Linked DNA regions of Yarrowia lipolytica. The protein of the gene in region 1 interacts with the protein of each later gene in a biochemical or structural test. Links are inferred from orthologs where the notes say so. Each region holds a gene or a part of one and is shown in the gene's direction. Other genes may lie near its edges. The genes, in order: YALI1_D30474g and YALI1_B17968g.

Region 1 (15,322 bases):
GGGGCACCGGCACCTCCGAGGGTCTTTCGCAGCTGGTGCTTGACAGTGACCCAGGTCTGCTTGACCTGAGGAGGAACGGCAGGGTGAGACAGCAGGCCATCGACTCGGACCTCCCAGGAACCGACAACGGATCGGGTGAACAGAGACTGGGCGTATCGCAGACGCAGGAAGACAAAGAAGATGATGAGCTTGATCCAAGAGCCTCGCTGGAAGGTGATGGCCTTGATAATCAGACCCAAGAACATCATGAACTCCAAGTTGGCAGCGGTGAACATGAACTTGTCGTTGTAGGTCTTGACAAAGTTGTCAATCTGGAGAGAGAGGCCAGCGTTGCCGGGGTAGCCGAGGGCAGGCAGAATGAAGCCTCGCACGTAGGTCAGAACATGGAAGAGAGAGAAAATGGCAAAGGGCAGGAAGGTGCCGTAGGTGGGCTTGCTGACGAGCCACAGGAAGGCAACCAGAAGGTAGGTGACGTTGTCGTCTCGGGCGAGAGCCTGGGGGTTCAGAGGCTTGCCCTTGTAGGTCTCGAAGATGATGATTCCAAAGGTGGCGATGACAGAGAGGAAAATTTCTCGGTACCAGAAGATGGAGAACTTGCCAACTCGAAAGAAGGGGAGGGTGGCAAGGACGTAGAAAAAGCATCCGACGAGGACGAGAAGGTGGCCTGAGTTAGTGGGAGTAAACGAAACTATGCGTAGCATAATGAATGAGCGCGCAACGAGTGGACAAAAGTTCAGCAACAGCTCTCGAGCAAGAATCAAGACGACTCATGTGACAATTGCATTGAGAGCTGAGATATGTGCTAATATCGGCTGTTGTAGGAATCGTCACAGGGCTCTGTGCTGTGTCGTTTGGGTCACGGAAGGCGCATGTCAAATGGTCAAGCCATGCAAGGCCATGTCGGAGAAGAGAAGAAAAATGAGATGGAAGTCGATTAGTGACGATGACAAGAAACTGGAACGTAGCCACAGTCCTTTATCTTTTTCCTATCTGCACCTCACTTCCTTGTTCTTCGTCGTCATGTGACAGTACATGGATAGTGCATGTTGATCAACGGTGGGGGGAAAAAAAAATACAGACTGAAGATCTGGACAGTTGAAGTTCATCGTACAGTTCTGCTCGTGTTAGGCGGCCCGTGTTAAGCCGCTTGTGCTAAGATGCTCCTGTTAAGTTGGTGATGTTATGCCATTGGGCAACCTCGTAGGCCGGCAAAACACACAAGACAACACAGCAGAACGTAGCACAGAACAACACCACAACCGTACAGAAAACAGTCGCATCGTGCTTCCATTTCACCTGTCACTCCCAGAAACATTTTTCATCCTTATCGCCTACAGGTTGGTCTCGGAGATGTGCTCGGAGATAAGGGCTTCATTGAGAAATCCACCGAAATAGTGGGTTAGTACTTACCGACAAACCAGATGAACTGGGGGGTCTGTGTTAGTATGTAATTGAGGGTGGCGACACTGTTGTGATTGAGCTGGAAACCGGGTCCGAGCAATGGCTGACGACAGAGCAGAACTGAGGGAGCGTTTGACTAGCATGCATTTAGCAGAAGATCTCGGGCAGCAGCAGCTTCCTAGCGCTCATTTGCACATTGATCAATTTCTCAATGCTGGCCCCGTCTTGTGATAGCTCAATTGCACAAGCAGCAACGACCGTGGAAGTTCACTGTGCTTTACACGGGCCATTCAAAACAGCCGACACTAGAACCGAGTGGTTGCAATGCTTATTCAATGGCCAACGACTCAATGCCGGTCGGAGTCATTCAATAACCACGACTCAATGCCGGTCGGAGTCATTCAATTCCACGACTCAATGCCGGTCGGAGTCATTCCACCACGACTCATTGCCTGTTAAATTCTTCTTAGAGCTGCTCGCTAACGCTCGCAGTTGAGCTCAATTACCCGTAAATGGCACACGTTCGTACTCACCTTGAACAGAGGCTCAAGAGCCTGCACAAAACCCTTCTTGGGGCCGGTGGAAGAAGCGCCGGGGGTGGCACTGGTGTGTCCAGCAGAAGTGGTGGTACCGGCAGTGCCGGTAGGAGTGGCTCCAGTGGCGGTGGTGCCGGCGGCGTGGCCAGTGGCATGAAGGGGCTCAGAGACAGGAGTGGACATTTTGCGATTTCCGTGGTGATGTCAGATGTCAAGAGGGTTGGTTTCAAAGACGATATGAAGAAGGCGGCGACTCTCTTGGGACCATATGCACCGTAGTAGCAAAAAACAAGGTTCCAGCTGTAGCAAGGAAGTGCAGCAAGAAGCGAGAGCAACGATGAAAAGTGACAAGACAAGCCCAAGTAGACAGGATGCGATTGGAGGACGGCATTTTTTTGGCCGTGTGGCTAAATATCTTCTCGGTAAGTCACTGCCCCGCCCCGCCGCAGCGGTTCCCCGCTCGTTTAGTCGCCACTTAATCCCGCTTTTGACATGCTCCACTGGTGGTTCGGTTATATTAGCGCCATTGTGAGTCTATTTGAAACAATGGAGTTGTGCATTGCTCACGCGATGACCAGCGTGAAAGCAACGTGAGTGGGCCAAGAGCAACAAACGAGGTGGTGGAAGGGAAATGAGGCGGTATCGGCGCCAGGCCAGTAAAAAAAAGAAGTTCAATTTGAACCGAAATGCGTTGCCCACGGCAGTTTTGAATTTCTTGCGAATTTCAAGGATTTTTCAAACGTCAAAGGAAAAATCCTAACAATCTCGGAAAAAATACGAAAAATCAATACCACCATGTACACGAGATGAAGAAAAGGAAATCAAGAGATATCCAACGTACCCTACATAGAAAATAAAACATTCTAACCACCCTATGTGGTGTTGAACCGTCTTCCAGGTGTTTGTCCTATAGTACATACTGTATACAACTGAGTAAGCCATCTACAAGTATGTCTGTCTATACCATACGACCAGATATTGAACAAATGACTTATAAACGTCAAAGACGCTTGAGATACTCTCATTCCTACTGCTACTATCACAAACTCAACCCACCCATGGCTAAAATACTACAAGTAGTCAAGCCATAGTTCATCATCTAACAGAAGATACACTTTCCACACAAGCTATCAATAGAGCTAAGTAGCACGTATCGATACTGTACACACTGGAGCAGCCATCGTCACACAATATGCCCCAGTCTCCTCTCAGATTCTACGCTCGCACGGCTGCCTCAGTTACCCGTTCGAGAGATCTTCCAAGGTCAATTCGGCTCTAACTTCCTTGTGCGAATGGTCCGTATATCATGGCCCAGATGCTACATATAACTGTATGACTACAACTCCATATACAGTAACATCGTCATACAGTAACATACTCGCACTTGTATGCTCCCTTGTACCACCCTATTGCTTTCATTAACACACAAGAAAAGAGCACGTCTTAAGCCTTTGCTTACCTCAAGGCTTCATCCCCATTGCTGGTGTCTCACTCTTAACCATGGAGTATGGTGCTTTTATCTGTGCATCAAATACGCTACTACCAGTGGTTGGTCGTTCGCAACCTTCAGCCACTCTACTCCGCGTTACGTTACCCATCCATTTACCTTTATATCTCTCGAAAAAACCAAGCATTAAGCATCTTCTCAACTCCCCATTAACTTAACTGGCCAAAATTAGCCGGGTGCCTACGACCGAAGGAAACCCTTCTTGGGCTTCCGGTCGTCCTGGGTGTTTCGACCGGCCTCGAGCCGCGCCTTGCGCTCCTCCAGCTCCAGCCTCTGCTTCTCCAGCTGGTCCTTCATCTCCTTGTGTCGGGCAAACAGCTCGGCCTCAGACCGCTTCAGCTTCTGCTCCTTCTCGGCAACCTTTTGCTGGAACACAGACTTCATCTCGGCCTCCATCTTGGCCAGCTTGGCGTCGTGCTGTGTTCGCTCCTCCTCCTGGCGCAGCGCGGGGTTCACCTCCCGGAACACAGAGTGGTCCTGCTGGATGCCCAGCGACGACAGCTTCTCAGTTCGGTAGTTTTCGTACAGTGTGTGGGCCGTCTTCTCCCGCAGCTCCTCGAGGTAGTTTCGCACCAGCAGCTGACGCAGCTTGACAAAGTCGCAGTGCTCCTCGTTGTCCACCTCAATCACTCCCCAGGGGTAGGACCGGCCCCGCACGGTTCGGCCGTCGGCGGTCTGCACCTGCTGGGTGGAGCCCACAATGGCAAAGGGCACCTTGGACATGATCTCGTGCGTCTCGGTGACGGACTCGGCGTCGTCGTTCTCGTACTGCGGAGGAGCAAAGATGTCAATCTCCTGGTGCCGGATGTCGGCCAGAATCCGCCGCTTGAAGTTCTCAATCTCCTCGTCGGTCAGCGTGTCCGACTTGGCAATCACAGGGATCAGGTTCACCTTCTTGTGCAGCTTCTTCATCACGGTGATGTCCAGGGGCTTGAGCGAGTGGCCCGTGGGCTGGATAAAGTAGACGCAGGCGTGGATCCGCGTGTCGTTGATGGACGTTCGGTTCACCCGGTTCTCGGCGTCCAGGTAGTTGTCGAACCGCTTGTCAATGTAGTCCACAATCGTCTTCCACGAGTCACTGTTGTTGACAAAGTCGCCGAAGCCGGGCGTGTCGATCACGGTCAGGTGCAGGCGCACGTCGTTCTCCTCAATGTCCTTGGTCACCGACTGGATCTCCACAGTCTTGGGAGGCTCCGCGGCAGGGTCCTTGCGCGGTTTGGGGGGATACAGGTCGTTGTTGAAGAGCGTGCTCACCAGCGTGGACTTGCCGAGACCGGACTCGCCAACAATGAGCACGTTGAGGTTGAAGCCTTTCTTGATAGACTTTCGGTGCCACTGGTTGGGCAGGTTGGCGAAACCCACGTAGCCGCTCAGCTTCTTGCGGATGATGTTGGTCTCAGGCAGGGCCGACGAGACCGCAGCGTTGCTGCCGAGCGACTTGTCTGTGGTGGGCTCCAGTCCCAGTGGCGCAATGGAGGGAGCCTGCTCCGCGACCTTGGCCTCGTCGTGGATAGGTTCTGGGTTAGCCATGAAAATGTGTTTAGGGGTGCAGTCGAGGGAGGAGCGCGATCAAAGGCAGGAGAATAGTTCGCTGGTTGCGTACGTTTACATGAGATCCATAATACACCAAATCACGCGTCCATCGCGGCTGGAGGTGGAGTCATCTCATGTCATTCCCTGACCTGGTGAAAAAGGCATTGGGTGACATAAATCGCGTTGTGCAGTGTGAGGAGTTGGGGAGCAGGTCTGGTGACGCGTTTTCTCAATTGCTAGTTTTATGTTGTACCGCCATCCCAACTCTTCTTCCACCGACCTGCTCCTCACATCATCGTCACACAGACACAAAGACGTCGCATCAAAACTGATATCGTCAATGTCACGTGTCCAGTTTAACTGTTGCTGTTGCTATCGTCTGTGTCCACCGGCCCCTCTTCTGTGTTCTTCACACGGAACCTCTTCTGGCTCTGTGTCTGTGTCTGTGTCTGTGTTCACCCCCTGACCCAGTCATAGGGGTGCAAGGCCCTCGAGAAACCCTCCTCCCGCTCTATACTCACCGATATCACTCATCATTTCAGCCATGGCGAAATGTCGGTTGTCTGTGTGTGTGTCGCTCTTACAAAAGGTGAAAGGACTCACAAGATGTGATGATGAGAGATTGGGTGCGTGGTGGTGTCTGTGAGGTGGTTAGGTTAGTTCGTACGTGTCTGTCCCAAACCTTGACGTTATTAGACTCACACGGGGCTACCTGCAAAACAGACTTTGACCGGTTGAATGAAGAATGCAGGGGAGGATAGGGGGGCGAGAGATGAGTATGGAGATGGGTGTGCGGGTGTGAAACAGAGGCACGTGACTGAACGGGGAGGCCGAATACACGTGCTACAAAGGAGGGTCCCGTGATGATGTCATCCCCGCAGCAATTAACTAACTTCACATGTATCTCTCTCCCATTACCCTCTCTTATAGTGGTGTTGACAGCCATAGGGCACATTTCGCAAAAGTGGGCCAATGGCGAATTTGAAAGCGGGGATCTATTTTTTGGGCCTAGCAGAATCCAACAATAGTCTTGGATTACCTATACTGTCTCTGGAAGTGTCTTTCACATCTGTCATGAATCTCGTGCAGGGTTCGTGTTTCACATTAGACTGCTATTAAGCTAATAGGGGTTATGTTTCAGGGTGAGCTATGAGGTGGCTAAGAAAGCTGACTAATCGATGTCAAAGATGAACATGTGGGGCTCAGCTGTGCGAGAATGACTTTGGAGGACGTGCAACCACTGAGTCGCTATTGTGGTTAGTCACTGTTGTAGGTAATCACGTGCTCCATACTCAGTCTAGGGCTCGGTCTACTTGTAGATAGATCACACTGATTCAGGCTTAGTGTGCTTTTTTAATTACACACTCCGAGAGCTGTTGGACTGTGGAATGACTTGTCTGGGATTGAGGAGCTGGAAATGAGCTCTCCAAAGGGGTAAGGGGGTACTTGTAGTAGTAGGTGGGAGGCTGAGAAGAGGACGAAGAGACTGGTTGAAAAGAGAAGCGTTCAAAGAGGTGACCACTTGGTCGTATATCATTGTGCATCAGACAATTGGCGTTCATCTCGCTATACAACCAACTATACGAGCTCAACATGATGTGCTGAATCAGTTAACAACAGATACACATGCAGAAGTAGAAAGGAAGCGATACCAAGGGAAACATCAAGAGTTACTAAAATGACCGCAAAGAGTTGCAGGGTCCAATTGCTGTGATTAGAAGTCGAATATGGTTGATATTCGAGTGAGACGAGTATGGACAATCTCAGTGGGTGTATCAAGTGAGTTGAATCAAGTGGGATGTAACAAAATGGTGTAGAATAATAGAATGCAATACTCTGCGGAGACTTCAACTAAATCCCAAGTATGTACAACAGTACCTAATGTAGTGTAGTCGAAATCCCACTTCGGTAAAGAGTGAACTCAGCGCCAGTCACTGAACTCTCTATATGAACAACAGTTGCGTACAGCAGTTAAGTACAGTACATACACACAGTAGTACAGTATGTACTACAAGTAGCTCACATAGGACAATACTTGGCTGGCTGTACGCTCCCCTAAAACCACTGCCTGAGGGAACATCTTCTCCATTGCTGTCTCTTAACCAATAAGATGAGCATGGCCTTTTGTTGTACCAAACATCTTCGTGAGCATGTACCGCGGTTTCAGCGCGGTTGGCTTCTTCTCCCTGACCATTCATCTGTCTCGTGTCCTTCTAGATGTAGCCAGATGTATGCCTCAAGGGTTGGGAATTGTTGGCCTTACAGGTTTCAACCAATTGGTTGAGATCCTGTCGGCATACGCAACAACAACAAGAGCTCGCAATCTGTTTGTAGTCGATAGACGTCTCATTTACGCCTGCTCAACCTAACCGTGTCTAGGATGGTCAGTCAACCGCTGATCTTCAATCTCGTAAAATTAGACCTGAGGCCGGCCTCATGAATTCATAGTCGTCACGAGCGCTTCAATAGGAGGTGAACCAGGTGGTATCCTGGCCTCTGTAGTGGACGAGACACGGTCGGACCCTGTCTCTCGGCTCGGTGCACTGCTCGCTGGTTTCGTGGAAAATGTACTCAACGTTCTCGCCTGGAGTGTCATGAACAACAAACGCGGTGATGTTGAGAGGCGCCAGAAACATCGCGACTGCTGTGGTGTTGAACACACAACATGATGTTTTGGTTGTAGGCGTTTCTCCCGAGGAACATCTGGTATTATATCTTTCAAATGAGTTAGTCCGTACGGCCAGTTCAAAACGGTAGAGTGTCGGTATGTAATGTTGGTGTGGGGAGTACAATGGTGCCTTCGGATTGTCGGTAGGAGCTCTTGGAGGTGGATTAGAAGGTAAGTCTTTTGACTCTCCTCAAACGGGCTCCAGTTGACGAGACAAAACGAAGCTTATGAAACTTGACGGGCTTCTGCGATGCGTGTGCGTGGACTGGGAGACAATCGGGAGACACTTTTTTATGGTAGTATGACCGCGACGAGTCCGCATATATGTTTGGTGTGCGCCAATATCACTGCAAGGCAAGCTGAGAGGGTTCCTTAGGAGTCACAGCTACTTGTAGTAACCTAGCTCACACACGAACAATGGATGAAAGATAGAGAAGAGATAGTAACATTTGTATTGATATTATATAAGGATTCACCTAAAACGCCTATGTGCCTCATTTTCTCTCTAGCTGCTGTGGAAGAAACGCTCATGTGAAACCCTTTCGACACTCCTCAGACGGTTCCTCTGGATTATGTGACATACAATGGAAGTTTACCTAAATTTAGTGCTAACTCAACCTCCAGCTATACTAGAGCTAAGCGAGGTATTCTGTTGTGATCACAATGCCTATATTTCAGTAGGAAAGTGGTCTCAAAATTTTGATATCTCTTCTGGATCACGTTTTCACCCCTTCAAGTTACCTTGGTAAAGTTTCCAATTCGGGATAAAATCCCAAGAGACCGTTTAGGGAGTGTCCCATTCGGTAGTAGGTGCTGCCTGAGTAGACTTCACCCAGAACATGCCTGTTGGGGAAATCAGATGACGATCAGATTATGACTAGAAAGCGACCACGTCACGTGGTCAGTTAGGCAGCTACTTTTGATTGGTAGCAAGTCTTTTGTTACTAAGCAGAACAAGCCGTGACCTCGACGTCGACTGCACCATTTAAAGTTCCATTAAGGACGCGTCTCTACACGATAAATTTCTGTTGGAATACTGTACTATACATTCTACACACCACTACAAACACCACAACATGACCTATAGCGCTGAAATCGAGCAATTGGTGGCTCTGGGCTCCAAGGCATACGCTCTGAAGCACTACGAGAGCGCCACCGAGACTCTGGGCCAGGCGTGTGAGAAGTACAGTGACGAGACTGGCAAGGAAGATGGTCATTTACTGTTTCTTTACGGTCGGGCTCTTTTCCAGGCCGGAGTGAGTTCTTCCAATGTTCTTGGCGGCGGAGAAAACCCCGGAGAGACTACTGGCGAGGAAGTTGAGGTTCCTGTGAAGTCTTCTGGAGCTTTTCAGTTTGAAGAGGCTCCAGAGGAGGTCGAAGAAGTTGAAGAGGTCGAAGAGGAGGTTTCTGAAAGCAAGGGAAAGGAAAAGGCTGAAGAAGGTGATGCGGGGGAGGCAGAAGAGGAAGGAGAAGATGAGGAAGCTCCTCAGACTGATTTTGAGGTGGCTTGGGAAGTCACTGATCTGGCCAGAAAGTTGTTTGAAGATGAACTTGCCGAGGAGGGGGTTTCAGCGGAGCGGATCACAGAGATTGAGAAACAGCTGGCCGAGGTGTACGACATCCTGGGCGAGATTTCTCTCGAGTCTGAGAACTTCAACCAGGCCGTGGTAGATCTGGGACGGTCGGTAGAGCTCAAGGATAAACACAATGAGTTCCAATCAACTGTCATGAGTGAGGCTCATTACAAGTACTCTCTGGCCCTCGAGTTTTGTCCCGAGGACTCGGCCAACAAGCAAAAGGCCGTGGATCAGATGATTCTGGCAATTGACTCGGTGAAGAAGCGAATTGCCATGACTGGCGAGAAAGACGACGATCTAGTGTCTGATTTGGAGATTCGGCTCAAAGATCTCAAGGCCATTGCCAAGGGTCAGGCTGACTTCGATGCCAAGAAACAGGCCGTCATGGAAGGTATTCTGGGTAACTCTTCTGATGATGTTGTCAAGAACATTATGGCTGCTGCAGGTGTCGGCGGATCAGGAGAGAAGCAGGTTAACGACCTGTCTGGATTGGCTGTTCGAAAGAAGGCCCCAAAGCGAGTTGCTCCTGTGGCCGTAGAGGATGAACAGAGTGGAGAGAAGAAAGCCAAGGTGGAGGAGAAGGCTGCTGAGGAGACTGAAGAGAAGAAAGAGTAGGAGTAGGAGAGAAACCAATGGGATGGTCGCTACTGGTGTATAATTAATATTGTATTGTTTTGAATCGAGTTGGATTGTAGTCGACTAAGAGCCTAAGACACCCCTGTTGATTTCGTGTATTGGGGTTTTCTGCCGTCACTTGATTGCACAGTTTTGGTTAGCGAAGAAATCAGCACCATTGTCACATGGATACATGGCTCTAATGGAGTTATTTTCCAATCCGATTGTTATTTGTCTCCTTTTAGTTTTGTTTTCCTCTTTTTTGTTTTCCTAAAATCACCTAGCAAGCAAGGACTCCAACAATAGTTAGGCTTTGTTAGCTTCGGTCACATTACTTGGTATATTTCTTAAATGCACCACCCGCATATTACATGCATGAAACCACGTTGCAGAATATATTTTCACATCTCGCACTACCCATTCGTCTCAGCACAACATGTCGGCCAAAAGCGACTCGAGAAACAACAAGGCCGTGAAAAGCGACGAACCCAAGAAACGGCGGCGAAAGAAGGCCCGAACCGCCGAAGTTTCGGACTCCGACTCCAGTGACAGTGAATCTGACCGGGCGGAAGAAGACGATAATGAAGACAACGAAGACACTACAAATCACGTAATCGACGAAGGTGACGTCGAAATGATGGAGTTTGACAAAGATGATGCTGCTGCTGCCGCTTCGGCCCAGACTATGGACATCCCAGCAGAACTGCAATCTCTTCCAGCTGACTCAGCCAACCCCGAGTTTCAAAAGTTTTACCTGAACCTGGTCACCTCCGAGTTTGGCAAGGATATGGACGAGCTGCGAACGAGCAAGACTTTTAATGACAACACTCTGGGTTTGTTGGTTGATGCGCTAAAGCAGGGAGTGAATGTGTTTGATGAAAAGGTGCAGGGGGAAATTGTCCAGCAACAATCATGAGCAGTTTGAGCGAAGCTGGAACTGCGATGATTGGGGTGAGCGAACAGTGATGAGCGCGCCGTCTTGAGCGCATTATCATGAGCGCACAGTCTTGAGCATATGAATGTCTGGATAGTTGTGGACACTGAGGCTGCGAGAATATACATCGCAGTCACAGCTATTGAAAGAGAGGAGACAGCTGTTGATCAGTGACATCCATTTTGTCAGCCTCTCAGTGTCATCTCCAACTGCCGAGGAAAAAGGATAACAGGTATTTAATAGAATGTTTTCATGAAGTGGAGCACTTTTGGCGTGCAAGCAACGGTGCCTGTAATGAGTAGATATTGTGCTACTGGGAAATCGAGTTAATCCACCTGTAGAGCTCGCTCGGGCGGTCTTTTTGGTACAGACCACGTGACTATCATTGTCTACATGATTGTTTCGTATTCCCTGTTTGCCTTATGCACCTGCAGCAAGTGAACACTACCGGTGTTCCACAGTGATTTTACAAGAAGTCATCGTTACAGTCATTTCTCAACGAAACTTGTGTGATAACAATTGCTTATAGAGACTGCTAGATCAAGTTTCCTTTTAGACCGCTCGAATCGGTTCAGTCTTCGGCATTTTGTAGTGTCCTTGTCATGATGTTCCACTTACGGGTAAGACAGTAGAGCTCCAGTCCACCCGAAATGCTCCAATTAAGAATATAAAAAGGTAAATAGAATCACCTCGCCCTCCTCAATCTTACAGTACCATAAATTCCTTGATCCCGTGACACCCTCTCATTTTCACAACTCCTACCTTTCATCTCAACTGAGTTTCGATTATGCAGGAACAGTAAAAAAGTAGAATACGAGCGAACTGGCAAAGACAGAAATACCACCAGAACGTCTCTCCTGCTGGAAAAAAGAGGACGACAGGACTCGAACCCGCAGCCTTTGGAGGACGTCGTTCAGAAGAACCGAAATCCAATGCGCTACCATTACGCCACGTCCTCAGGAATGTGCCGACTTTGAGAATTCTGGACTGTGCCTGGTGATGTATGATGACTCAACGCTTGAATAAAATAAAAAAGCAATAAAATATTTTAATCATTTCAAAAACCAATATGTTTAGTAACTATTTGAGTCAAGTCCTTCTGCGTTTCTCACTTAAAACCGCTTTAGTAAGGCTCTTCGGTCGCGTTCTCTATTCCTTCCATTTTGTTAGAAATTAGTTAAGAAGAAACATCACTTAGGGTACAAAAACGGTGTTCCAGGTATCTTAGGACGGTATGAAATGTCTTATTGTGAAACCTGTACCCTTATAAATGAAAATATAAGATAATATTTACTACGAGTCTGCCTACATTTGCTGATGTTGCCACTTACGGAAATCAGTGCCTTTTCTATTTACCTAGCTCTAGTTGAGAGCTAAACAAGGTACGACCCCCAGCGACGCTGCAGTAACGTGAAAAAAAATCGGGCACTTGCTGTGGGATCACGTGGCCCATATTACGGTATAAAAAGGTTTCGCTTATCGTCAGGTGGCATGCTCTTTTAGAAGAGTTGTCCTGAAGCTGACTGACGCCCAAACAACATCTACACGAATCTTCAACTAATATCGTGAATGCCACTATCGTGACTCAATAACACATGATTAATTACTATTATTATTCACCTCCTAGACTGACAACTTCTGACCTTTTCCGAGGTTCCAGTAGCAAAAGAGAAAGGCGATGGCGAAGGCTCCTCCTGCTGCTGAGATGCCCACAAACGGCCAAATGAGATGCGGATCGACCAAAGCCGGAGTCAGACCTGTCTGAATAGCCGTACTGAAGGCAGACATAAACAGTAGCAGTGCCATAACAAGTGATCTCATATGTTCTGGAGCCAGAGAGTAAGCTAGTTCGTATGAGGTAGTGATGGCAAAGATCTCAGACAAAGCAGTACAGACATAAGGGAAGACTTGCCACCAGATGGTGATTGGAGCTACTCCAGCTTCACATTGGGTGGCATAGTATCCACAGGGGGAAGTCTCGTAGATTCTCCATTGAAGAATAGCTCCAATCATGGGAGAAAAAGCTGCCAGCATAAAGCCCAAAAAGATTCGGAACGAGGCCCGAAAGTTGATTTTGTAGCGTCTCAGTAGAGGATATAGTCCGTAGTTGACTATCGGTACTGCCACAATAATCGTGAGAGGGTTGAAGTTGTTGAGAAGATCGTTGGGGACTCCATTGGTGATCATTGAACTACCCTGAGAATTAGACAGTGCTCCAATGCCTCCATCGTTGATAAAGTAGATTGGAAAGAAAAGGAAGAAGCGGGTGGCTTTGAGAGTGGCCCAGACGTCAGTTTGAAACTTCTCGGAGTATGTGGAGTCCTTCTTGAACAGTCTTTGGTAGATGACTCCTAAGAATCCAGCAATGAGAGAATCTTCAGAAGCAGGAGCCTTGTAAACCCTGTTTCTGATGATCCAGAGAAACAGGGGGAGGAAGAAGTAGAGAATAGTGGGAACCAGAAAAGCGAGCCAAAAACCAATTCTTTTTTCGGCATAAGCAGTTCCCAGACCAAGAAAAGCTCCCACGTTGATAGACCAGTAGTAGACGAGAGTCATTCGTTGAAGAGTCGATTCTTTGTCAATCACCACGAGTTCTCCATTGGGCATCTTCTTCACCCAGTTGTTGTCTTCTCTGTACTGTTCCAGCAATAGTGGAAGCAAGTTGGGCTTGAAGAGACCGGTTCCAAAGGCAAAGATCATTAGTCCAGCAATAAAGATTCCTAGAGCAGCTTTCTGGTGCTCTATGATTCCGGGAATTCCGGCAATCACAATCACAATATGGCCAATTCCACAGATGATCGTACCGGCCCAGATGGTCTTGAAACGTCCATATTTGGAATCGGCAAGGTAGGCTCCTAGAAGAGGTGTCAAGTAGGATAAAAACTGCAAAACCAGAGTCAGAGCCGTGGCGACTTGAAGACCCTGATCTAGGGCTCCCGCTGTCAACTGAGAACCGGCAGGTGTGGCTCCCCAGCCATTTCCGCCCTTAGGGAGAGGGAACTGGACAAAGTTGGAAATGACGTTGGTCAGACCATAGTACGAGCCTCGCTCTGCGAACTCAACAAGAGACAGCATGTAAGTCATGGCTCCAATTGGAGCAGCTACTCGTCTTAGAGTCGCTCGATCTTCGTCTGTGGCAATTCTGAGCCCGTCGGGGTTATGTTCATCGGTGTAGGTGGCCCATGTCTGAGAGTATCCCTGGGAGATGATCGATGTGGTTTCAATCTCGGTGAATTCAATTTCGTTTTTGTCGTCTTTATCGATAGAGTGGGTAGTCTTTTGGTCAGTGTCCTTGTAGTAAAGACCGTCTTCTTTGGAAGGCTCCAGGTGGTCCTCCAGATGATCTCCTAGATGTTGAGTCATGACGAACAGTGGCAAGACGATAAAAAGTCGATAGACGTTTTTCCATGCCCCCAACCCGCCTATATACTACGTGTTGCTATCTGACAGCCACAGAGCCGTGTGCCAAGGGAGATCTGCTCTTGGTGTAATAAGAGTTAAGCTATGATATAGAGTAGTATCTCGCACATCGGGCAGAACATGTCCATACGAACATCCAGAAACGGGTGATGGAAGTAATCTGGGAATTTAGAGGTAGAAAAGAAAACTCCAGTTTCCGAAAAATGTGATTTTTGTCACGTTAAAGTCGGTTTCCATCGACTTGATCTCTCCACCTTCTACTTCATCATGCCAAACACTATCGCCATCAAACACTCACTTGGCGGTATCAGTGAAGCCACAGATGCCCCGCATAGATAGAGGAATGGAGCAGATAGATTGGACGCCAAGTGTCAGGGGAGGAGTTTCAAACATTTAGATCGAAATTATTGAACAGGCCTACTAGTATAATAGGGCCTTGTGCCTGTTTTTTGACGCTTCCAAGTAGCCAACTCTTTAAATGACAACAACAGCAACAACAGCAACAGCAGCAGCAGCAATAACAACAATAACAACTCTTTAAAGACGTTTCCTTCATCGAGCTGCTCCAAAATCCTACTCTATCGCCTCCTGTTCTTGCTTGTCGTACGCCAAGACACGGCACTTTTCATATTACCAAATGCAGTAATAAACCGCGCGTTACTTATGCGATTCAGACACAAAGAGATAGGTCTGAAATTCGTCGCTGCTCAGAAATTTTTCAGATCCACTTTCCATCCCAGTCCAACCACGGTAGCCCCACCTACAACCGTTATCTCCAGGTACCCACTTTTTGGCACTGCCCAAAGTGTATCTGCTAAAACGCCTAATTAGAATTAAGCGAGGTGCTAATTTGGCGTCTAAACAAGCAGCCTAATGCGGAGGTGACATCAGTGCCATGTCTGAGTTGAACAAAACGACAGCTCAGAGTCGACTTTTGAACACGAGCATACACACAGTGTGCTGTGGGGGTTATGTTAGCACAAAAAAGCTAAGTTGATGCACGCTGAAACGGCATGTTTTGTTGTTTTTCATCTCACCCACTAGGTGAATAACAATGCTCTAAGTATAGCGAGGTATAAAACCCGACCACCTACCGACACCTCTCTTTTCTGCTCGTATTATATAGTTTGC
Region 2 (14,805 bases), on another chromosome or scaffold:
ATTCCTGCTGTCTAAGCGAAGTCTGGGCTAGAGAAGTGACAGGAGGAAGTTTGACACGCATCTTTTTAGAGGGTCCGGCAGCTCGAGTTTTGCTGGCGAAAGGGTTGTTCTTCTGCTCCTCCGTGAGCTTGGACACCTGTGAGAATTCCTGGTTCTGAGCATCCTTTCGGAGCGAGAAGCGCCACATGGACGCGTCTCCGGAGGCTGAGACCAGAAAATGGGCCTCTTCGTCAACAAACTTGATCGATGTGGGGGGCGCACTGTGACCAGCTCGGTGTCTGAGGGCTCGCGGAGGTGCAATGACTGTTTTGTTGGACTCCGACATGACTGGATCAAACACCCATTCTCGCAGAGAGTTATCTCCACCGCATGTGAGGAAAGCTGGCATTCCGGGCAGGAAGACCAGCGATGTGATTCCTCCCTCACTCTCCTCGTGAGTCTCTCTCAGCACGTGGAGACGTTTCTGGGAATTGAGGTCAAAGAAGAAAGCATCTCCGGAGGCGGTTCCGACACCCAGATGGGCAAAGGAGTCCGACCGGAACGACAAGCAGTTGACCCGCGAGCCGGTGTGAAAGGCCATGAGTCGCTCACCCAGCTTGAGGTTGTAGACGTGCACCTTTCCGGATGCAGTTCCCACTCCAATGTAGTTCACAACGGGAGCGTCAACAATGGCGGTGATCTCGTCGTCAGATCCAATCTCGTTGGTGGAGAAAACAACTTTGCCTGTTCGAATATTCACCAGCAATAGAGACCGTCGAGTTGCCACCACAATCTTGTTGAGGTAGGTGGGGGGATGGATGATGGAGTGCGCAGCTCCCACAGAGTTGGCGAGAGTCACGGTGGTGTAATACTCAAACGGAGGGTCCAGCTCGTCTCTATCTTCCTCCTCGTCCTCGTCGTCAGACTGCTCCTCCTTCTTCTGGCCTCGCTTGAAGACAAAGATCTGTGAGCTGTTGATGGCCACCAGGTTCTCTCCGAAAGATCGCACACACACTAGCTTGTCCTTGGTGTCGCACTCCAGCTTGTACAGTAGCTTACCACGGAAGTAGACGCCAATACAGTTGTCCCAGGTGGCATAAACGTAGGGTCGGTGGAAATGAAGCGACTGGATGGGCGCGGGGGTCTGAGGAGAGGTTACAAACATGAGATGGAGCGTCGAAACATCGTAGATCTGAACGGCTCGGCCCACACTGCATGCAACCAGGAAGTTTCGGCCGAAAGATGACACGGAAATAGGTGTGGAGTTGGCAACATGTCCAATAGTCTGTGTTAGTTTGGTGATGTTGGGTGTAGTGATGGGGGTGTAGTACTCACTCTGAAAGGCGTGAAGATCTTAGAGGGGGTTCCGACAAGTCTGTCACGCACAGTGACCTCGTCAGACTCCACTCTTCGCTTTTTTTCAATCGCAGGCATCGTTTTAGAGCGGGTGTCGGAACGCTATGATTTGTGTGATGCAGCTTGGAAAAAAATATTTGGGTCGTGCATGCCAGAAGTTTATTTGGATGGGTCATAATCTGTACAGTATATGAGGATATGTAAGAAGTTAGGATGAGATGCAGAAATGATAGTAGAAGTATACCGAGAGTATTCTTCGTGTTCTTTTTTAGTGATAGTGGAAATAACTGGTTCTGTTTATATTTTCAAGTTGGGCGATAGAGTTCGGTTTCAAGTGAAGGGAAATTTTTGTTGGATTTTTAGTTGGTACTTGAAGGACTGTCTATGAAAAATGTACGTACGTACTATAAAAATAAGTACTACTTGTGGTGGTGTTTATAAAATACAATAAAATAAAATAAAATAAAATAATGCTCCTCTTTGTGCAGCTCTGTAGCATTGTTAGCATCAGTAGTGGACACTCGACTCTGAAACATCCGAAAGGCTTTATATATATAATATATATATATATATATATTATATAATATATATATTCTACAAGTAGCACATAGAGCACTCAAAGTACAAATAAGTACATACTGTATATCATACTGTATGGTACTTACAGTGCTCTGTCTCACTACAAGTGTGCTCGTAACAATTACTTCTAAGTAAGACGTGCAAAACTATATCGGAAGATCCAAATTGGAACGACTGGTGGAAACGATTAATAACAACGGGATGTGTGCGACCCAGCAACTTGAGATGCCGACACTGTCTATATAGAGCCCTCCTTCTACACCACTGTAACATTTGGCCTTGCGCTCACGATACGTCTGTCTTCTTTGCATGTGAGCGGCAACGAAACTTTGGCTCCACAATAGCGAGCACGTGGATAGATACAATGGAGTAGATTGAGGGGACTGTAAAGCCACTATTGTGGGGTATTATAGTAGGTGGGAGTTTATTGAATTGGAGACAGACTGAGAATTGGTCATTCTATATCTCAATCTGTCGATATCACCCAGTATATATCGGCTTAAGGTCTTCTGTGCTATGCTATATCAACCCACCAAACAAGGCGAAGCTGCTGCATAGACGATCGAGCTGTGGAGACGGTATCGTACAGTAGATAACCGGAAGAACTCAGATGGGGGTGGCTTGCCAAGAGTATACGTCACTCACTCATAAAACAAAAGAATAACTACAAGTGGTCTAATCAATTTTACCACTCCAAAAACAGCCAGAGAACATTTCCCAATCAGCTGCTTGTAGCTCCAGTCCAGTAGAATGGCTCGCTGCACCACGCTGCCTATGCATCTGGTGTTAGCCAAAACCATAAGCAGCGAACAGCACAAACGGGAGTATTAAAAGTTGTTTTACCAGAGACCGATGTCGGATCTTAAAAGGTCAATCGCTGTAAAACTTCCTTTGAAATCGATTTCTTTTTTTTTCATCTTTCTACCCCCTCTCCTTGTCATCCAAACTCCACCCCAGAATCATTGCTTCGATATTCCCAATTGTCGAGCGCAGCATTAGTCTGAACCCTAAAGCTGATCTCGTCGACATCGGGTCTACCTCTCACACATCTTCACACCACCCACCACACCCCCCCCCGTGGAAAAATGTTCAGAACCGTCTCCGACCGTGTCGGCCTCGGCCCCCGCATCCTCGTACGAGCCCTCGGACTCGTCCATCTCCACGTCGTCAATAAAGGCTGCTGTTGAGGGCCGAGCCCGACGGTCCTCTTCCTTCTCTAGCATCAGAGCTGCCTCTGGTACCCCCGACCTGTCCAACCTTCCCAAGATTGGCAAAATTGGTGTCTGTGCGATGGACGTCAAGGCCCGATCCAAGCCATGTCGGCACATTCTCAACAGGCTGCTGGACACGGGCGAATTTGAAACCGTTGTCTTTGGAGACAAGGTGATTTTGGACGAGCCCATTGAGAACTGGCCCACGTGTGACTTTCTCATTTCCTTCTTCTCATCCGGTTTTCCCCTCGAAAAGGCCATTTCCTACGTCAAGCTACGAAAACCCTTCCTCGTCAATGACCTCATTCTGCAAAAAGTGCTGTGGGACCGACGTATCGTGCTTGACCTGCTCGACTCGGCCAATGTTCAAACCCCTCCTCGTCTCATTTGCACCCGAGACGGAGGCGCAAAGGCCGACCCTGACCTGGCCAAGAAGCTGGCCGAACACAATGTCATCCTGACTCCCCAGCCCAAGTCCGAATGTCACATGGTTGACGAGGATACCGTCATGGTGGATGGCAAGACCATGACGAAGCCGTTCGTCGAGAAGCCCGTGGATGGAGAAGACCACAACATCTACGTCTACTACCCCAAGTCGTCGGGAGGAGGAGGTCGACGACTATTCCGAAAGGTCGGCAACAAGAGTTCAGAATTTGACCAGGATCTCTGTGAAGTCCGGATGGACGGCTCGTACATTTACGAGAAGTTTATGGACACCGAAAACAAGGAGGATGTCAAGGCGTACACTGTTGGAGCCCATTACTGTCACGCTGAGACCCGAAAGTCCCCCGTTGTCGACGGTATTGTCAGACGGAACACATATGGCAAGGAGCTGCGGTTTGTGACCAAGCTGACTGACGAGGAGATCAAGTTTGCCAGCAAGGTCTCTCAGACCTTTGAGCAGACTATTTGCGGTTTTGATCTGCTGCGTGCCCAAGGTGAGTCGTATGTCATTGATGTTAACGGTTTCTCTTTCGTCAAGGACAACCACGAATATTACGACAACTGCGCCCGAATTCTGCGACAGATCTTCCTGCAGGCTAAGCAGCAGCGAAACAAGGACCGAGCCATCGCTAACACTGCTCCTCAGCCCGAGAAGCACCAGTCCTGGGTTCTCAAGGGCCAGGCTATTGTGATTCGACACGCAGACCGAACCCCCAAGCAGAAGATCAAGGTCTCATTTAAGCATCCTCTCTTCATTGATCTACTGAAGGGTCACAAGGAGGAGGTTCTTTACCGAGAGAAGGATCGTCTGATGGAGGTGCTTGAGACTACTCGACGGGCCACAAGGGAGGCTACTGACGAGGATCCTCAGAAGATGGCTAACCTGATCATTGCTCTGGAGAAGAAGATGGATTTCCCCGGAACCAAGGTCCAGATCAAGCCCACAATCAATAAGAGCACCGGCGAGGTTGAGAAGGTGCAACTAGTGGCCAAGTGGGGAGGAGAACCCACTCATTCGGCTCGATACCAGGCCCAGGACATGGGTGACCAGATGCGTCAGGATCTCATGATTGTCAACAAGAACCTGCTCAAGAATGTCAAGTGTCTCTCATCTTCTGAACGACGAGTCATTGCCAGTGCCAAGATTTGGGCAGCTGCCTTCCTAGGTGTTGAGGAGGTCTCTGACGACTTCATTGTTGTTCGAAAGGGTCTTCTTGATGATTCCAACGCCGCCAAGGACCTCATGGACAAGGTCAAGAAGGAGCTTAAGCCTCTTCTGCGAAAGGGAACCCCACCTCCCCCTCATTTCACCTGGCCCGACAAGATTCCCGAGCCCTTCATTGTGTTGCAGCGGGTCGTCGAGCTCATGAAGTACCACCACAAGGTCATGGAGAGAAACTTCAACAACCACACTCCCGAGGAGGTTGAAGCCTTTCAGACTCGATGGTGTTGCCAGGAGACCCCTTTCTTGTTCCGAGAGCGATGGGATAAGCTTTTCTCCGAGTTCACTTCGCCCGACAAGGTCGACCCTTCTCGAATCTCCGAGCTATATGACGCTATGAAGTTCGATGCACTGCATAACCGACAGTTCCTCGAGCGAATCTTCAAGCCCGATGAGAGTGTCGAAATTGCTCCCCCTTCGTGCCACATCCCTAACGTCTCTGCTCCCGAGCTGTCTTCTCTTGGAAAGACTCCTCTTGTTACGCCTACAAGTGACGACGAAACCAAAACATCTTCCAACGGCAAGTCGCCCCAGCAGACTTTCTATGGCCCCCAGTACGTGCATCTTCGAGAGCTGTACCGACTGGCCAAGATTCTGTTTGACTTCATTTGTCCCCAGGAGTACGGTATCGAGGACAAGGAGAAGCTGGACATTGGTCTGCTGACGTGTCTGCCTCTGCTCAAGGAGATTCTGTCCGAGCTCAACGAGATGAAGCAGGCCGAGACTGGAGGTGTGATTGCTTACTTCACCAAGGAATCTCACATCTACACCCTGCTCAACATCATCTACGAGTCCGGCATCAACACCCGAATCGCCCGAAACGTGATTCCCGAGCTGGACTACCTAACCCAGATTGTTTTTGAGCTATATGAGAGTGTAGAGGCGGATGAGTATGGCGAGAAGAAGTACTCCATTCGACTGTCAATCTCGCCTGGATGCAACACCCAGTCTCCTCTGGATGTTCAGCTGGACTCAAAGCACTGCATCTCTTGTATTCCACGAGTCGGTCTCACTCGACATTTGGACCTGGATCTGGTCATTGGCAAGCTGCAGACTCGTTTCAACCGGGTGTCCATGCCTTCCAAGTTTATTCCCGTCAACATTTCTTAAACGAGCCTCAGAGTTGTTTTTTGCCCTTGAGCTTCTTATTACTTACGTTGATGTTAGATTAACTGTATATTAAGTGCATTTTTTATTGTGTGAGTGCTCCTGTGTAGTAATAAGTAAGATCGTATAAATAATTGACTCACTACATCTATGCCTTGTCTTCCTTCTTGCCTTACTCCTTCAGCGTCTTTTCCTTCTCTTCCCTCTCCTCCGCTGCAGCTGCCTTTCTCTCCTTTCGATGAATACCAAATCCATTGTACGCCACAGCCCAAGCTTCGCCCTTGGACAGTTTATCAGGAATCTCGATCATCTCCCACTCACACTTCAGGTCTTTTTCAGACTGTAGTATCGTGCTCAGAGCAGGGTACTTCTGCTTGAACTCGTCATCTCCAAACCGAGTGTCATAGGATCCGAGATAGTTGGCCACAATGAAGTCTGCATTGATGAAGAGCAGTTCATTGACGTTCACAGGTGCATGAGGTGCGTAGATGAAAGACTCTGTCGGCTGAAGTTTCACCTCGGAAATGCTTTTGGTCAGATCTTCGATGTCACCAGATTCTGCGGCTATGTCTGTTGTGTCTTCCATGTCAGCCTTTTGTGTATCTGATTTCACAGATTTTGTTTCCTCCTCTACATCCTTCGTTCTGAAATCAGGATCCCACATCCCTGTCACGGTCTTCATTCCTAACAGCTTGAGCATTTCCTCATCTCGAGCCGTGAACATAGGTTCTGTACAGACTACCTTGTCCAGAGGGATCTTGAGCTCTTCGGCCAGCAAAAGCAACAATACCAGCTGGTATCGCACTCCTTCGTCCTCTGCAGGCTTGCCCAATGCCAGACATTGGATATCTGCAAACTCCTTGGTGCTGTGTTTCTCTAGAGTCTGTTGGAGATGGGTTTGGAAGAAGTCGTAGAACTTGGACCGCTTGACATCTCGCTTGAGCTCTTCAAGTCCCTCCACAAGTTCCCTGGGTGTCTTTTCTACCCACGCCTTTCGTGGTCGTCGCCGGCTGTATCCCATGGTGTCTGCGGTGATGATCTCACTGATACACACAACTTTTTTGCATCACTCTGCATGGTCCAAATAGAGTTTTAGAATACCGTCCAAGAAGGGAATGGTGATGGAAGAAAAGTCCCTCTTCTTGAATGGGAACAGGATATGTAACTACTTAGTAAAACTCATTAATTTTGGATTTGTTACTTATTCTTTATAAGCTCTATAGCCTCCCCCCTTTCTCCCCCCAAAAAATATTAAAAAAATGCGCCCTTCTTCTATATCTAGACTGTCATGCATCCCACACCTTAACCTCCTAAATTACGCGACGCGTGCAAACTATCATCCTCGCTACCAACACACTTTGATACAAAACCACACATGGCACGGATATCTCTGGCCTCATCATCAGCCGGAGTGGCCGGGAAACCTCGAGGAGGAGGAGGTTTGCACCCCCTGGGTCAGACGAGAAAGACTCTGCCAGGCGAGAGACGAGATACGACACAGAAAATCACCAAGCCACGATATAAGCCAGGACAAAAGGCCCTCAAGGAGATCCGCAGGTACCAGCGTGGAACTGAGTTGCTGATTGCCAAACTACCGTTTGCGCGAGTCGTCCGAGAGGTGGCCCTCAATTATCTGGGCAGCGAGTACGGAAATTTGCAGTGGCAAAGTATGGCGCTGCTGGCACTACAAGAAGCGGCGGAAGCATTCCTTGTCCATTTGTTCGAAGATGTCAACCTGTGTGCTATCCATGCAAAACGTGTCACCATCATGCAAAAAGATATGCAGTTGGCAAGACGTATTCGAGGAGCATGGGGAGGTGCTGGTTAGTATGATAACCAGGTGAAGGACACTGTTTGGGGTTGCGCGGTTCTAGGAAGAGGAAACTGAGAGATGAGCATGCGCCTTTATTTATTTTATATGTACAATACATATTTTTTTTATATTTCTGTTGTTGTTGGTGAGACTACTTGTGCTGTCCTAACTGGTCCTTGAAAGGTTTGTTACAAACATCTTTGCTGTACCTGTACGGCACAACAGTGATCTTCAGCCCGTTTAAACACAATAATTTACCATCTATATACAGCCTTATACTGCCATCTAATCCTCCATGTAATGTTCTCATTATTTCCAATACCCAAAACACAACCAGTGTGCAGCTGGTGGTTCAGAATAATGTCATTAGGACAGCCAGTCGCTGCTCATTCCCAAGCCGGATCCTCAACTTAAACAATGAGGAACCAGAAGACCAGAATCAACATGATACCGACCGCAGCAGTGATGATACCGGCACCTGCTCGATCTCCTCCATGAATATCCAAAGGACTGGCATCGTCCTGGCTTGTTCCGAAGGGGTTGTCTCCCTGGGTTCCGGCAGATCCGTTACCCTTGGAGGTTCCTCCGGTGATATCGGTCAGAGGACCAGTGGAGTTGAGAATCTGGGTGTTGAGAATAACTTCCAGAGCTGACAGCTGCTCTCCGAGACCAATGTACGAGACGTTGTACTCGCCTGTGAGCCAGTTGATGGAGCAAGTATGTCCGTCAAAACCTCCAGAACAGGTTCGAGCAGCAGCATAGGCCGAAGGACGCAGGTAGGACAGGATAGAGCCAGCCAGAGAAGGCATCATTTGAGCGGTCTGGCCAAGAAGCGACGAGTAGATACCCTTGAAAGTTCTCTGATCCTGGTTACAGGTGATGGTGACCTGCTGACAGGCGATTTCCACCATGATGTTGCTCTGGTTGCCGCCAAAGAAAATTCCCTTCATGATATCAGCATTCCACAGCTGGTAGGTTCGGTTCATCCATACGGAGGCCTCGAGAGTGGCGTTAGTGCCGTTTCGAAGCATGGTCGCGTTGTAGATTGAGGCAGCTCCGGACATGTAGATACCGGAGTTATAGGTCCAGAGGTAGGGAGATCGATCAGAACAGTTGGGCAGATGGATACCATCGTAGACGTGGCCACCGTCGATGATCTTGACTTTTTCGGACCAGGTCCAGATCTTTTCGGCCCATTCGAGGTAGGTGGTGTTACCGGTGTATCTGTACAGTCGAGAAGCGAGGTTGAAAAGAGCTCCATTGGCAATAGCGTTCTTGTAGTCGTATCCAGAATTCCACTGGAAAATCTGCCAGTGCAGACCTCCATCGCACACTTGAGTGTCCCATCGGTCAGCCATGGAGTTAAAGGCACCCTGAGCAACGTACAGCCATCCGTAGTCGTCGTCGGGATTGGTGAAGTTTCGTTCAGCAGCTGTCATCATGGTCATGGCCCACACTCCCTGGTCATCGTTACCCTCGGAAGAAGAGTAGTTTCGCACCATGAGGTTGTACTTGTCTCCTCGCTGGGCCTTCATGGCCTCGAAGGTGATGTTGTTGAAGGTGGAGTTGCCAGTGATGTGCCAGTACTCGATCATGGCGTTCCAGGCGGCGCCAGCGTGCCACCAGTAGTAGGGAGGCACAAACATTCCAATGGTTCCTCCATAGGTGAAGCCCTGGTAGTAGTCCAAAAGACCCTCAGCAATGAGAGCAAGAGCCTTGTCGACGGTATCGGGCTTGTCGAGATCCAGAAAACTTAGATCAGCGTGCACGGGGGCCAGCAGCGTGGTCACCGCCAGCACCAGCGCCCAGATATAGGTTGAGGGTCTCATAGTGTGGTATATGGGATGAGGTGTGGAGATATCTTCACAACTCGAGAGAGGCCTTAACTCGCGCACTCATACAGCCCACCACCGAAGTTTGTCCTAACAAAGGTTTGCGTTAGTTTGCTGGGGTATAGACAGAGGATAGGGGTTTGTGTGTTTTTCTTCATGAGAGCATGTTTTCCAGTGGTTATACCGAAAGATGAATGTCTTATCAAGTTGTTTTTCTTCTGGCTTGTCAACCCACTTGTTCCTTATTCTTTCTCGATATGTACAGTGTGCCATATTGACCTGCACCAACCAACGTTTGTTTTCCATCTTTTTCCCACCTCGACTTGTTCCCGCTTTTCTCCACAAGCTTCAATTGTGGATCGAGCTTGAATCTATAAATAGGTTGGAGTGTCTACTGTGCGATGCTGTTATTGTACTTGTGTACTACTGGTTGCACTTGTTCAGACGATTATCTTCCCCCTCTCAGTCTTTGTCATATTACTAGCCTAAGATAAGGCATTAGACCATCACATCTGTCCGCAAGGCATTCGAGACGCCCATCACCTCTTTTTAGCCCGTTCACTTTTCGCTCCTTTCGTCAATAGTATCAAGGCTTTTCGTTACAAACCTGAGAATCAAAAGTTAGAGGTTACCGCGGAGTAGAGAAAAGCGATTATTGGTGGTATTAAGGATGGAAGAAGACCCTCACAAAAAAAGCGGTTGTGTGACTTGACGTAATCTCGCGTCTTGGCTCCGGATAGGGTGGGACATGTGAGTAAAACTTCTAGAACCGCGTCGTCGCTTTTCTAATGCCTTCGGTTTAAGACATTTCCAGAGGCGGAGTTATTTCGAGGGTTATTGAGTCTACGGTTTGAGCTTAGCAAGGGGATTGATTAGTAAGATATTAGTGAAAGAGGATGGGGGTTGCTTTTTACTGAAGCGATGAGGTGGTGTGTGGGGGTGTACAATGCCAACTACCTTTAGTTGGGTTTTAGAGAGAGAGAGAGAAAAGCGCTGTACATCAGTCATCTTCTAGTATAGTCAGTCTGAGAGGTGCTTCAGCTGAGAAATGGTCAAATTTATTGCCCATATGTCACAAAGAGGGAATATATTGAAAATGAAAATGTAATTGTCTGATCTCATATTGCACACTTTTTTTTATAATCTCAATTATGCATAATTGTTCTTTACTAACCTCTGAGATCAACTACAGGTACAGTAGCCACTGTTAGGGATGGGAGTAGCATATGTGTGTGTGTTACAGTAAGGGTCGGCAGAGACCCCTACACAGTCTTTGAATATGTATAGAGTCTAGTGTACGTAGTTATAATATATACATTGAAGCTGCAAAGATGATAATACATTATCACCGACTAGACTAGATCTCACCATTTCACGACCAAAAACTATGTAGAGATTCCCTTCCCGCTAACATCATAACCAGTATCCCTGATTTTATTTAATGTGCGGATAACAATGAAACAGAACTGTTTCATCCCTTTGGGGACAAGAGAAGACCATGTATCGGCACAAGTAATTACAATGAGTATTAATTTACGTCAATTTACTATCACTGATCACTACAGAGCCTTGTAACACTCATTTTATTCTTCCCCCTCTCTCCCTACTGTCATCCTCAAGGCAACCACTAATACGACAGATAAAGCAAGCCGAGGACAACGGAGACAAACGGAAAGACAGCGACGGTGTGTTTAAAGCTGAGACGCTAAACCAGAGCGTTTAGATCTAAAGCGGGTCCATGACCATAACGAGGGGGTGAAAGGTCCGACTAATAACCCGCTTTCTCGGAGCTCAAATAGACCGCCCTCTTCTCCTCCCACCTCAATCCGGGGAATGCATCCGTCTGCACGACAAGCATGAGCCTGGGGGTTTCTTGCACCGTTCCAACTATTTTTTGGTCTGCAGTTTGGGTCTAAAGTGCTGCATGGACGTGGACATTTTGACACGGGACGGGAGGATGATGTGAGGTGAAGGAAAAGGAATCTCGTTGGTGAGTAAACAAAATATATACAATTGAACTATTTTAAAACACGTGATGGACTCATAACCCCTCCCCTACCTCTTTATCGCCTCATTTCATCGCCCTTCTTAGCCGGCCCACGTGAAATAGAGTTTTCTGCTGCAGAGTGGGAGAAAAAATTGGAAGAGCTCAATACTCTCACCTCCACCACACCTCCGTCTTATCCATGCGTCGATCCAAAGTCTTCATCGGCAACTCCCACACGGAGCTGGGCGGGCTCATCTGCAACCGTCTCGGCGTGGAGCCTGCCCCTTGCACTCTCAAAAAGTTTTCCAACGGCGAAACGTCAGTGGAGATTGGAGTGTCTGTGCGAGACGAGGATGTGTACATTGTGCAGTCGGGCTCTCCTTCGGTCAACGATCATTTGATGGAGTTGCTGATTCTGATTTCGGGCTGCCGAACCGGTTCTGCTCACAAAATCACCGCCGTGATCCCCTCCTACCCTTACTCTAAGCAGTCCAAGATGAAGAAGCATCGAGGCGCTATCACTGCTCGAATGATTGCCAACCTGCTGACCATGGCCGGCGCCGACCATGTCATCACCATGGATCTGCACGCCAATCAGATGCAGGGATTCTTCACCGTGCCTGTCGACAACCTCCATGCGGGTCCTACTCTGGCCCAGTGGATTCGACACAATGTCCCCGACTACAAGGACGCGGTGGTGGTCTCCAAGAACCCCGGTGGTACCAAGCGAGTCACAGCGCTGGCCGACGCTCTCAAGATCAACTTCGCCATGATCCAGACTGACCGACGACGAAACCACAAGCCCTACTCGTCCATGCTCAACCTGGCCCAAGCCCCCATTTTCTCGGTTGCCTCGCCACGAAAGAAGGGCGCTCGAGGCGCTCCTCCTACCGTGCTGCCTGCACCAGGCTCTCCTCTCAACGGAACCGCTCGACGGGCATCCATGAAGCTGCAGGACGGACCTAACACCACTCATGGCACAGTTCCCTCGCGACGAAAGTCGTCAAACACCCGAAAGCCCTCTCAGCTCGGTGGCCGACGGCCGTCGCTCAATCCTGGTGAGGAGGGAGAAGACGATGTCTTTGACGACGAAGAGGACGAGGGAGTGCACATTGTGACTGCCCACGGTGTCCAGACCGCCCGAGTTGTCCAGGGCCACGTGGTGGGAGATGACTACCTTGAGGAAGAGTCCGAGTCCGAGGCCCAGTCTGAGGCCGAAACCCGACCTCGTCTTCAGCACACCGATTCGTCAGTCGACCTGAAACATGCGCTGGGAGGCTCTGTTGACGCTGAGGGCTCCGACGATGACGACGACGAGTTCCAGCGAGAAAAGCTCATCACGCTGGTCGGAGATGTGCGGGGCCGAACCGCCATCATTGTTGATGACATGATTGACCGGCACGGCTCTTTTGTTGCCGCCGCCGAGCACTGCAGACTCAATTGTGGTGCCAAGCGAGTGGTTGTGATTGCCACTCACGGCATCTTCAACGACGACTGTCTCGAGCAGCTGCAGGCCTGCCCCTGCATCGACTCGGTGGTTGTGACCAACACGTACCCCATACCTGTCGAACGTCGAATCGCCGCCACCAAGCTGGTGGTCATCGACGTGTCTGCCATCTTTGCCGAGTGCATGCGACGAAACCACCACGGAGAGAGCATTTCTGCACTCTTTGAGCAGATGACCATGTAGTCAGCCCACCTCTAATCAGCATAGCATATATATTTTTGAACTAGACGAGCCGAAAGTACGACACCTTTAGCCGATTCGAGCGTGGCTGATTCGACGTAGCGAGAGGATGCACTATACGGACAAACAGTCGGAAGTTGGGTGAGATGAGCTGGTTGCCAGAGGATAAACAAACAGACGCAGTCAGGAGCAATTCGAGAGCCTTGGGCTGTGCGCCCACTATAGACTGATGTCATGAAAGACCATCTGGAGGTCTGTTCTGATCCTTCTTTTGAAGAGAAACTACGCTTGATTACCAGCTTTGAGATGTCCACCTTTCCCATCATCACCTACAAACAATTAGTGATCATTGTGTTTGCAGGAGCGGAAGACTTTTACCAGAACTGTCAATAATATCACAACAGATTTTTCTGTCTTTTCATACTCGAAGTGGTCTGTCCAAACAAACTGTTAGATGAAATGGAGGTAGACGAAGTGATCTGACTCATAAGAAAAGCTGGTGATATATGCGTTCATTCTTCTTTTGACTCCTAAATGAGTTCCAAGTGGTTGGCTACAGTAGATGAGCAGCTACTTGTACATTGTTACAATATTGTACATACCGGTAATTAGCTACCTGTACAGATGGTTGAATGACCTGGGTCGCATCCTTTAATTCTATCAAACAAGTCATGTTAGCCTCAGCGCTACAAGTAGATCAAAAAGAGAAAGAATCACAGTGAATCGATACAGTACAAATACACAAATCATAAGATGTAAAAAAATTGCGAATTCTGTGGATCGAACACAGGACCTCCAGATTACTCTGACCGAAGAACGACTTCAGTCTGGCGCTCTCCCAACTGAGCTAAATCCGCAGACATGTTTTGTGGGACGTGTTCCACGCACTAGCTCAATATGTTAAAATAAGGTTCTGAGATTAAGAGTATGTATAATCCATGAATGAATGAATGTGATTAGAACATTCAAATCTTTGGCTCATCAGATGCACCCTGGTTTGATGGTTAATGGTATTGTGCGCCACGGAATATCATGGAATAGCTATCCTCATGAGTGTGAGTCTATCTAAATCAAATTAAATGATGCAGCAAAGTAATATCAAGTGATGATGATACTTCAATATACAAGTATACTGAACTACGGTTGCGGATACTTGTACTGTACATAGATAACAGTGGACTTGTCTCCACCGTTGAATAACACGCGTGGGTATTGTACTGCCGCATTTAAACATGACCTCGTCTCATTCCTCTGTAGCTGCAACCTCGATACGAGGGATCGGCGAAGTAGCACAGAGTTCACTTGACGATCTTTGAGCTTGAGATCTTCTGCTGTGGGCTACTTGTATTCAAGTACTGTAGCCAATTGGACCTTCCAGTGTCCAAAAAACGCATTGTACATATAACCCATCTACGAGTACCTACGGTACGAGCACAACACGAGTACATCTCTAATGTCTGACACCCGCTCATATACCCGAGACTGCATCGGGACAAGTGAGACACAACGCAACTAGCACGCCCAACGTGCAGGACATGTCTCAGCACTGCCTACTTGTATCGGCTCACACTTATACTGTATCCACTTC

Evidence for each region.
Region 2: the proteins of YALI1_D30474g (region 1) and YALI1_B17968g form a complex in vitro, tested with the Schizosaccharomyces pombe proteins (2 studies listed by BioGRID, with this or other methods). The link is inferred for Yarrowia lipolytica from reciprocal best matches to the Schizosaccharomyces pombe genes sim3 and cnp1.

The regions. Positions count from the first base shown.
Region 1 is NC_090773.1:3,040,783-3,056,104, reverse strand, and holds YALI1_D30474g (uncharacterized protein), read left to right. Parts: upstream 1-8,721; coding exon 8,722-9,837; downstream 9,838-15,322. Other genes in the region: YALI1_D30540g (uncharacterized protein), read right to left, coding at 1-664, 1,411-1,435, 1,935-2,120; YALI1_D30526g (uncharacterized protein), read left to right, coding at 2,508-2,527, 3,139-3,236, 3,484-3,602; YALI1_D30506g (uncharacterized protein), read right to left, coding at 3,625-4,961, 5,499-5,523; YALI1_D30482g (uncharacterized protein), read right to left, coding at 7,440-7,834, 7,880-7,967; YALI1_D30459g (uncharacterized protein), read left to right, coding at 10,274-10,753; YALI1_D30420g (uncharacterized protein), read right to left, coding at 10,829-10,961, 12,408-14,134. UniProt on the Schizosaccharomyces pombe protein: Histone H3 and H3-like CENP-A-specific chaperone. Promotes delivery and incorporation of CENP-A in centromeric chromatin, probably by escorting nascent CENP-A to CENP-A chromatin assembly factors.
Region 2 is NC_090771.1:1,789,550-1,804,354, forward strand, and holds YALI1_B17968g (uncharacterized protein), read left to right. Parts: upstream 1-7,273; coding exon 7,274-7,726; downstream 7,727-14,805. Other genes in the region: YALI1_B17908g (uncharacterized protein), read right to left, coding at 1-1,264, 1,315-1,413; YALI1_B17927g (uncharacterized protein), read left to right, coding at 3,205-5,901; YALI1_B17964g (uncharacterized protein), read right to left, coding at 6,071-6,919; YALI1_B17990g (uncharacterized protein), read right to left, coding at 8,122-9,540; YALI1_B17998g (uncharacterized protein), read right to left, coding at 10,158-10,323, 10,391-10,551; YALI1_B18012g (uncharacterized protein), read left to right, coding at 11,730-13,220. UniProt on the Schizosaccharomyces pombe protein: Histone H3-like nucleosomal protein that is specifically found in centromeric nucleosomes. Replaces conventional H3 in the nucleosome core of centromeric chromatin that serves as an assembly site for the inner kinetochore.